Schizosaccharomyces pombe: one gene and its partner. The protein of the gene in region 1 binds, or shares a complex with, the protein of each later gene. Each region holds a gene or a part of one and is shown in the gene's direction. Other genes may lie near its edges.

Evidence for each region.
Region 2: the proteins of ten1 (region 1) and stn1 are in contact, whole or in part, in a crystal structure (PDB 3KF6), measured with the Schizosaccharomyces pombe proteins. Residues at the interface, in NP_001343093.1 of Schizosaccharomyces pombe: Asp2 (codon at 1,959), Ser3 (codon at 1,962), Ala4 (codon at 1,965), Leu6 (codon at 1,971), Lys20 (codon at 2,013), Arg22 (codon at 2,019), Val66 (codon at 2,151), Leu79 (codon at 2,190), Arg81 (codon at 2,196), Ser82 (codon at 2,199), Ala83 (codon at 2,202), Val84 (codon at 2,205), Gly85 (codon at 2,208), Ile86 (codon at 2,211), Asn87 (codon at 2,214), Arg90 (codon at 2,223), Tyr91 (codon at 2,226), Met94 (codon at 2,235), Val95 (codon at 2,238), Glu97 (codon at 2,244), Arg98 (codon at 2,247), Cys101 (codon at 2,256), Asp102 (codon at 2,259); in NP_001343021.1 of Schizosaccharomyces pombe: Phe22 (codon at 2,153), Tyr55 (codon at 2,307), Ile56 (codon at 2,310), Ala57 (codon at 2,313), Asp71 (codon at 2,509), Asp72 (codon at 2,512), Cys73 (codon at 2,515), Ser74 (codon at 2,518), Gly75 (codon at 2,521), Met76 (codon at 2,524), Val77 (codon at 2,527), Ser98 (codon at 2,590), Pro99 (codon at 2,593), Gly100 (codon at 2,596), Asn101 (codon at 2,599), Pro129 (codon at 2,683), Asn130 (codon at 2,686), Glu132 (codon at 2,692), Trp133 (codon at 2,695), Trp136 (codon at 2,704), Gln137 (codon at 2,707), Met140 (codon at 2,716), Lys143 (codon at 2,725), Lys144 (codon at 2,728).

The regions. Positions count from the first base shown.
Region 1 is NC_003421.2:819,285-822,112, reverse strand, and holds ten1 (telomere cap complex subunit Ten1), read left to right. Parts: upstream 1-1,894; 5' UTR 1,895-1,955; coding exon 1,956-2,264; downstream 2,265-2,828. Other genes in the region: mrpl20 (mitochondrial 54S ribosomal protein mL58), read right to left, coding at 1-469; Cu(2+) transporter complex subunit Ctr4, read right to left, coding at 2,785-2,828.
Region 2 is NC_003423.3:1,160,909-1,165,171, reverse strand, and holds stn1 (telomere cap complex subunit Stn1), read left to right. Parts: upstream 1-2,089; coding exon 2,090-2,198; exon of another isoform or gene 2,199-2,253; coding exon 2,254-2,352; exon of another isoform or gene 2,353-2,482; intron 2,483-2,506; coding exon 2,507-3,276; 3' UTR 3,277-3,687; downstream 3,688-4,263. Other genes in the region: protein mim2, read right to left, coding at 287-330, 680-854.

The DNA.
Region 1 (2,828 bases):
TCCTTTCTTTGGGAGCTTCACAAACTCGTGAAATTAGTAACCGAGTTGTGTTAAACTTTTTAGACAGTGTTCCAGTTGTCCAAGCATTCGGATCTTTCGTCCTCAAGTCTTGGATGGATTTGATATCTTCACTACTCAGTTGATGAGTAGAAAACCTCAACTTTCCTTTGCTTTTCGATTTTCGGCTAACTGCCGGCGGGAGAAACATTGACTCTTTGGAAAGTGAGGTATCACGCTGATGAATTGGAGGTGCATCATAGCGAAAAACAGGAGGAGTAATCCTAACATCTGGAGAAGACGCTGGTGGATTGTAATAAGCAGATGTAGTTTCAGTTACCTCTGCTATTTTGGAACCCATAGGAATTTTAGGTCGCTTAGGAATACGTTGTTTAGGGTATAGCCGGTTCAAATTCCGAGTCTGAATGAAGCCTACAGGCTTCAAAAATGAAGGTTTGATTGTAAACAACATGTTTTTACTCTTTCAACTATTTTAATTTTGGTGTCGCTTTAGAAATGATGCTTTAAATTTTTTTGAGAAAAGGTTATAACACAAAAAACTGTAAAGGGCCTTTTGGATAAACCCACACTTCAAATAATATTAGTTATAACGAAGATTCTCAAAGCCTAAAAGCTATAGCAACGACGTGACAAAAGAGCTCAATGCAAAAAAAAAATAAACAGCAAAAAAACACGCAAAAAATCACTTGGAAGAGTTCTAACTTTTGAATTTACAAGAATCGTATTAAGGCTTGCAATTTTCCGAGTAAAAACACGAAATTACTCTCCAAATGCGGGTTTCCTGGAGTTTAGCAGTCTCTATATGCACAGTATCCACACTCTTAGTTTCAATACGTATAATGCAGTGTGTTTATGGCACCTTAAATGTATATTATATAATTCGTTATATTAAAACTGGTTTTTGGCACTTTGACGGTTTATTAAGAGAAATCGGAAGATTCAAGCTAAAAAATATTGTTAACGGCATTTTGATTGTAGGATAAATTCAATACAATTTTGTTTTGCTGTTTTTTTTTTAAACCATTTCTAATCTGTTCATGGTTCAATTTAAATACCGATTATATTGAATACTGGAAGCATGATATTTTAAATATTAAATTAAATTTATTTTATTTTTTTCAATTTTCCATAGATTTTTAGGAAATGTACACACCTTTTCAAACTGACCCAAATTTTTTGCAATGTAAATTATAATATCAAATGGTTAAGTAAGGGGTAACCTTTTGTTTACAGTCAGCTTCAATTTATCAAGTGAATATTAGCCGCATTGGCCCTATAACTAAAATCGGAATTTATTACAAGAACTATTGATTTCTTATAAGGCCTTAAACAACTACATCAGAACATGTTTCCAATTCTCTGCTTGATTTTAATCAATATTATAATGGTATAATAAATAATTATCGTTATCGTTAATAGCTACTTATATTATACAAGTTTACAAGATATTTCAAGAAGCTTTGGTGGTTTAGTGGTATAATGAATCGTTGCCATCGATTCGACCCGGGTTCGATTCCCGGCCAAAGCATTTATTTTTCTCTTTTTATATTCCATCTGACTTAATTTATAAAAACTAATCAAAAGAACCATGCTTGCGTTTTTTGTGGAGTTGCTCAAGTAAACCAATTCATAAATAATAATAATGGAAATGTTGGTCTATTTATCAATCTAATATGCCTCACTGATAGTACTATACGATTATTAGATTTTGCTTTTACTATTGCAAACGAGAGTGTAGTCTTTCTGCACATTTTAAGGATTAATGCAAATTTTTCCTTTTGAAAAAGTCAAACTACGTTTTCTTAATTAAAGCTGCGATCTTAAGTCGCTCATTTACGAAATTCATATTTCAATCGATTACCCAGTTTCCAAACACAAACTATACCACCTTCCCTCATCTTTCCTTGTTCTCCTTTTTACAATATATTTAGCAGCTGATGGATAGTGCTAAACTTATCTTCATTAATCAAATTAACGATTGTAAGGACGGCCAAAAACTTCGATTTTTAGGATGCGTGCAATCATATAAGAATGGCATTCTACGGTTGATTGATGGATCAAGCAGCGTGACTTGTGATGTTACAGTAGTTTTACCTGATGTATCTATTCAAAAGCATGAGTGGCTCAACATTGTTGGGAGAAAGCGGCAGGATGGTATTGTGGATGTCTTGTTAATACGATCTGCTGTTGGAATTAATCTTCCGAGATATCGACAAATGGTTTCTGAACGTCAAAAATGTGATTGATGAATATCTTATGTAGTTCTGTTGCACCATGTCATTACAAACTCATTTAAAAATATATAGAAAGTGATCACCTTAAGATACCATAAAGGTACTGAATCGTGTTAATGTCAGTCTTTATAATAATAAATATTTATTAACCTCCAGGTTCAAAGTCGAAAACAAACAATCATGGTTAAAAAAAAAAAGGAACGAATTACATCTGTTCAAATTGCTATATACTCTAATTTGAATGTTTAACTAACAAAGATAAGCGTTACCTTGTGGCATCTATTTATTTTTGTTGAAACTTTTATTACTTTGTAAAAACTTAAGACAAATTACCAGAATTTGTTTTGTCTTTCCAACATGGACATGTAATATGTGGCTTCAACATTCATCAAAGAATCCTCTTCCAAACTATCAGTGACTGTGCGAAAGAAATTAAAGCGAAGACGATTATGATTAATCAGACGCTTCAGCACTGAAAATGAGTGAGGTGCATGAAATTGGGAATACTAAACCAAATTTAGAGATAATCAAGCTATTCGGTTGTAGGTGTTGTGTCTGAATATTGACTGGAATCAT
Region 2 (4,263 bases), on another chromosome or scaffold:
AAAAGAAAGGAAAAAATAATGAATAGTATCAATAAGCAAAACGATGAATACACACATTTCCAATTTTTTTTGAAGTTCGGATTCAAAAACCGTTACAATTTAATAAATGTCGAGTACATTGATTTATACAGTAATCAAATATTCATTAATTCTTATTCAGATCATAAAGAGAATTTCATCCGAGAACGAATGGCACACTATGGGTTTCATCACACAATATCATAATAGAAACAGAAACAATAAGTATTAAACCAGCGAATGTAAGAAGATTCAGAAATAAATCTTTTTAATTACTAACCAAGCGCCTCCGTTCTAACCAGCGAGCCCATGCTAAATCCAAGGGTTAGTATACAATAAATGTACAGAAGTTTAAGGATGTAGAAAAGGTTAAGAATGAAAGACTAATAGAACAGTAATGGAAACAAAAATGTTTAAAAAATAACGAAAGATGTAAATGTAGACCAACAAGCAGACCATTTAAAAACAGTTTATAGGAAGAAAAAGCTATAATTCAAGCTGATGGAATAAGAAAATCAGTTGTGCTCAATCTTTCTCCAAAAACGGATTTTTTTGCTCTATTATTCAATTATTTGCAAAACTTATTTCCTCTTTGAGAAACTAAAAGCAAATAAAAAAAATCCACCATCTATTCCTATTCCTTTAATTTATACTAACTTACCATGAAATGCGAATTTACGACCAAGAAACTTTCCTAACAACGGGAACACCACCAAACATAAAACTCGTTCCAATTGTTCAATGGAATCCTTTAAATCATCATCCAATTCACTAGAATAGGTATCATCTTCTCCATCTGAAATTGGGTCAATTTCAAGATCTAAAACTTCGGCCATGTTGTTTTCACTAAACTGACTTTAGAATAGTTCGATTGAACTAGCAACGTTGTATTTAGAATTTAATTAAAAAATTTTTCTATTGTCAGCAATCGAAACCCCTTTAACGTATGCTTAAAAGTGTATTATTACCAAGTATGGCTCTGGTGAAGGTCACATAGTGGCTGTTACATTTATACATAGGACATTTGTCGAAACAACATTGATCATGTGAGACTAAATTTTGAAAACAGGGAGTATATTCAGCAAAAATAATTCATATTCACTGATGATAAGAGGTTATTTGTTTCTATATGCTTTACCTATGAGTTTGGGTACATTGTTTGTATTCTTGGTATTGCTAGTTTATTCAATTTCAGATGAAAGCTGAGCAGAACAGCCGCTGTCATGCTATTCGCGGATACCCTTTGTTTCACAACAAATATTTCGACCTAAGAAAAGCCTTTATTTTTGCCATCCTTACCTCTAAGTGCTTTGTTTGGTAACACTTTATTGAAGAATTGATAGACCGTTATAAACATAAAACAAAAAAAAGTTGGGAGTTTTGGTTTTTTTTAGTTACTCTTTTAAAGAATGCATTTTTCCACGAGGTTTCTTGATCGAACACAGTAGGAGCAATATAATTTATCTTCAAAACAGTTGAATGTGAAACATCAATAACTGAAGAAGTTTGGTTTTCATACCTCCTTGCGTATTCCCTATTCATAAATAAATCATATAATTTAGAATTATCCGGTATATGAAGATAGGAATTTGTGTGCTAGAATTTAGCAAGATATAAACAATGCACATTGGTGTGACATTTACAAAATTGGTTGACGAATTCTGTACTCTCACTTTTTGTCAGTAGACGTCTTTTTTAGGATCTTCTCTCAAATTCAATTATAACTAAGTTGCGTGAAACCAGACTAAATTCAATTGATAAAGTTGTTTAGTCAATTAGCATTTTTTATAACAGCATCAATGCATGTCCTAATAAAGAGTTAAGATATTTTTTTTCCTTTTAATCTTACTGTAGAAACTTAAATAGTTATTATCCTCGTAGAATTGCTCTATCCTTATTACGCGCACTCAGGAAGATGAAGACTTCACAAACACCAAATCATTGCTTAATTTTCGAAAACGCTGCGATTGTTGTTGATAGTTGACCAGAAGCATACTAATTTTTATTTACTTATATACTTGAAAAATTGCAAATCATATGGTTGAAAGTCTTTAAGGGAATGACCTAATAAATGCTAGAAAATGAAAATCAACTAACGCATCAATTTCCTACATTATCAAGATGGAACCCCATGTTTATTAGCGATGTTCATAAAATTTCATTTCATCCACATTTACAGCGTAAGTGCTCTTTCTGTAAAATAAATATCACAAAGTGATTCTTACAAATATCTAGGATACATTGGCTTCTGGATGGGATTTCCCATAAGATGGATTCAAATTGTTGGCTATATTGCGGCAATTGATATTTATGAAGGAAAGCATGTTTTAACAGGTAACGAATATCAGCATTGAGGCAATAAGCAGTTCCACTACTGCATACACGACTCATTTAGTTGTTGAATCTAGTTAAGGTTTTTTATAAAATCAACTTTTGAGAAGCATCTGCCTCTATAGCTCCCTTTTTTCTATTTCCTAACTGAATTTAGTGGATGATTGTAGCGGGATGGTATTGCGTGTCGTGTTTATTATTCAAGATGATTTTTCAATGTCAAAAAGAGCAATATCTATGTCTCCTGGAAATGTTGTCTGTGTCTTTGGAAAGATAAATTCTTTCCGATCTGAGGTTGAATTAATTGCTCAGTCGTTTGAAGAACTTCGTGATCCAAATGATGAATGGAAGGCATGGCAGAAAAGGATGAGATACAAAAAAAATTTAACCAAAATCTCTAAAAATCACCATTCAATCATTCGCACACCCAAGAAATCCTATTTTCCTAAAGATCATGCGAAGGAGTTACTTAAGTGCATAAGGCAGATGTGTAAATTAAATGTGCAAGCTGGATTTACAATTGAAGAACTCATTATTTATTTAAAAGCAAAAGAGTTGCACCTCCCACTTGTTCATATATTCAACGTCGAAAATGAAATAGTAGAGAACTGTGATGGAAATCACATACTGGCGCTTAATTTCTCTTTGCAAACATTACTACAACATGGGCGGATTGTGAGAAAGTCAAATTCAGTTTATATGCTTGTCACTTCAAAAGACATAATACGCTTTGTGATTCCTCTGATGGCAAGTGGTCTTCTCGAAGCCCACAAGGTTCAAAGCATAGTGAGAGATTCCAACCCAATGTTTATCACACTCCCTCTTTCTGCGATTGCTAAACACATTTGTCAATTTTTGCTTCGTACAAAAGGGAAATGGAGGCAAGCAAAGAAATATACCTGGGTGCGAGATAATCAGTTTGTATAAAATGAATTTCCAGTTTCCTTTAATATCACATTGACGCGGAGATTTAATTGCCTAAAACTAAGTTCATTGTTCTATATGCAATATTACAATCCTCTATTAATTTAAGAATATGTTTACGGAAACAGATCAATAAGTACACATGGGTATATAAGCGGTTAATCTGATGATGAAATAGATTTACATGTATAAAGCTTTCTTTTTTACTTTTGAATTGATCAGTAGCATCATTGCATCAAATTTAATTAATGGTCAGCACCAATTCATCAGCTGCTTATACAATCTAGGGTAAAGAAATATAACTAAGCATGATAATAAGTTACTCTTAATTTCCTGAAGTTCAAACTTGAAATGCTTTGCATCGCTTACTGGCCTAAGCATCGTACTTCGATTATTATAGTTGGAAGTCATGAGGATAAAACTATGTCTTTTCTGATCATGTCGTAAAATCTAGCTGCTCTTCATACTGAAATTGGAATATTAGATAAGATTTAACTACTAAAAAAAAAGATTAAGGCATCCGATTGCCAATTGTATAGATTGCAATGATGCTCCTTACTGCTTTGAAGTTGAGTAAAAACGAGATAAGCCCATAAACTTATGCAATTTATTTTAGTTGTTTTTAACTACTAAATTGACACTTCATATTGGTGGTTGTTATTTTTTTTTAGGTATCGAAGAATTGCTTATGGTCGTAGAGTTATGTCAATCTATTAATTGATCCAGTATTCTCGCACTGGGAGATCACACATCGAATAAAATTTATTTCGTTTCAATAAGCAACAATAAATATAATAATTGGTTTCTTTAAGCTCGTATTATGCCGCAAAATCTATATTTCAAAATTTAATCCTCATAATAAGCTACGCATAAATTATACTAAATTTTAACCAGGCAAAGGTTGTTACGCGTGGCGCAATGGTAGCGCATCTCATTCCTATACGACCTGATCGTTGTTGGGGAGTGAATTACGAGAAGGTTGCGGGTTCG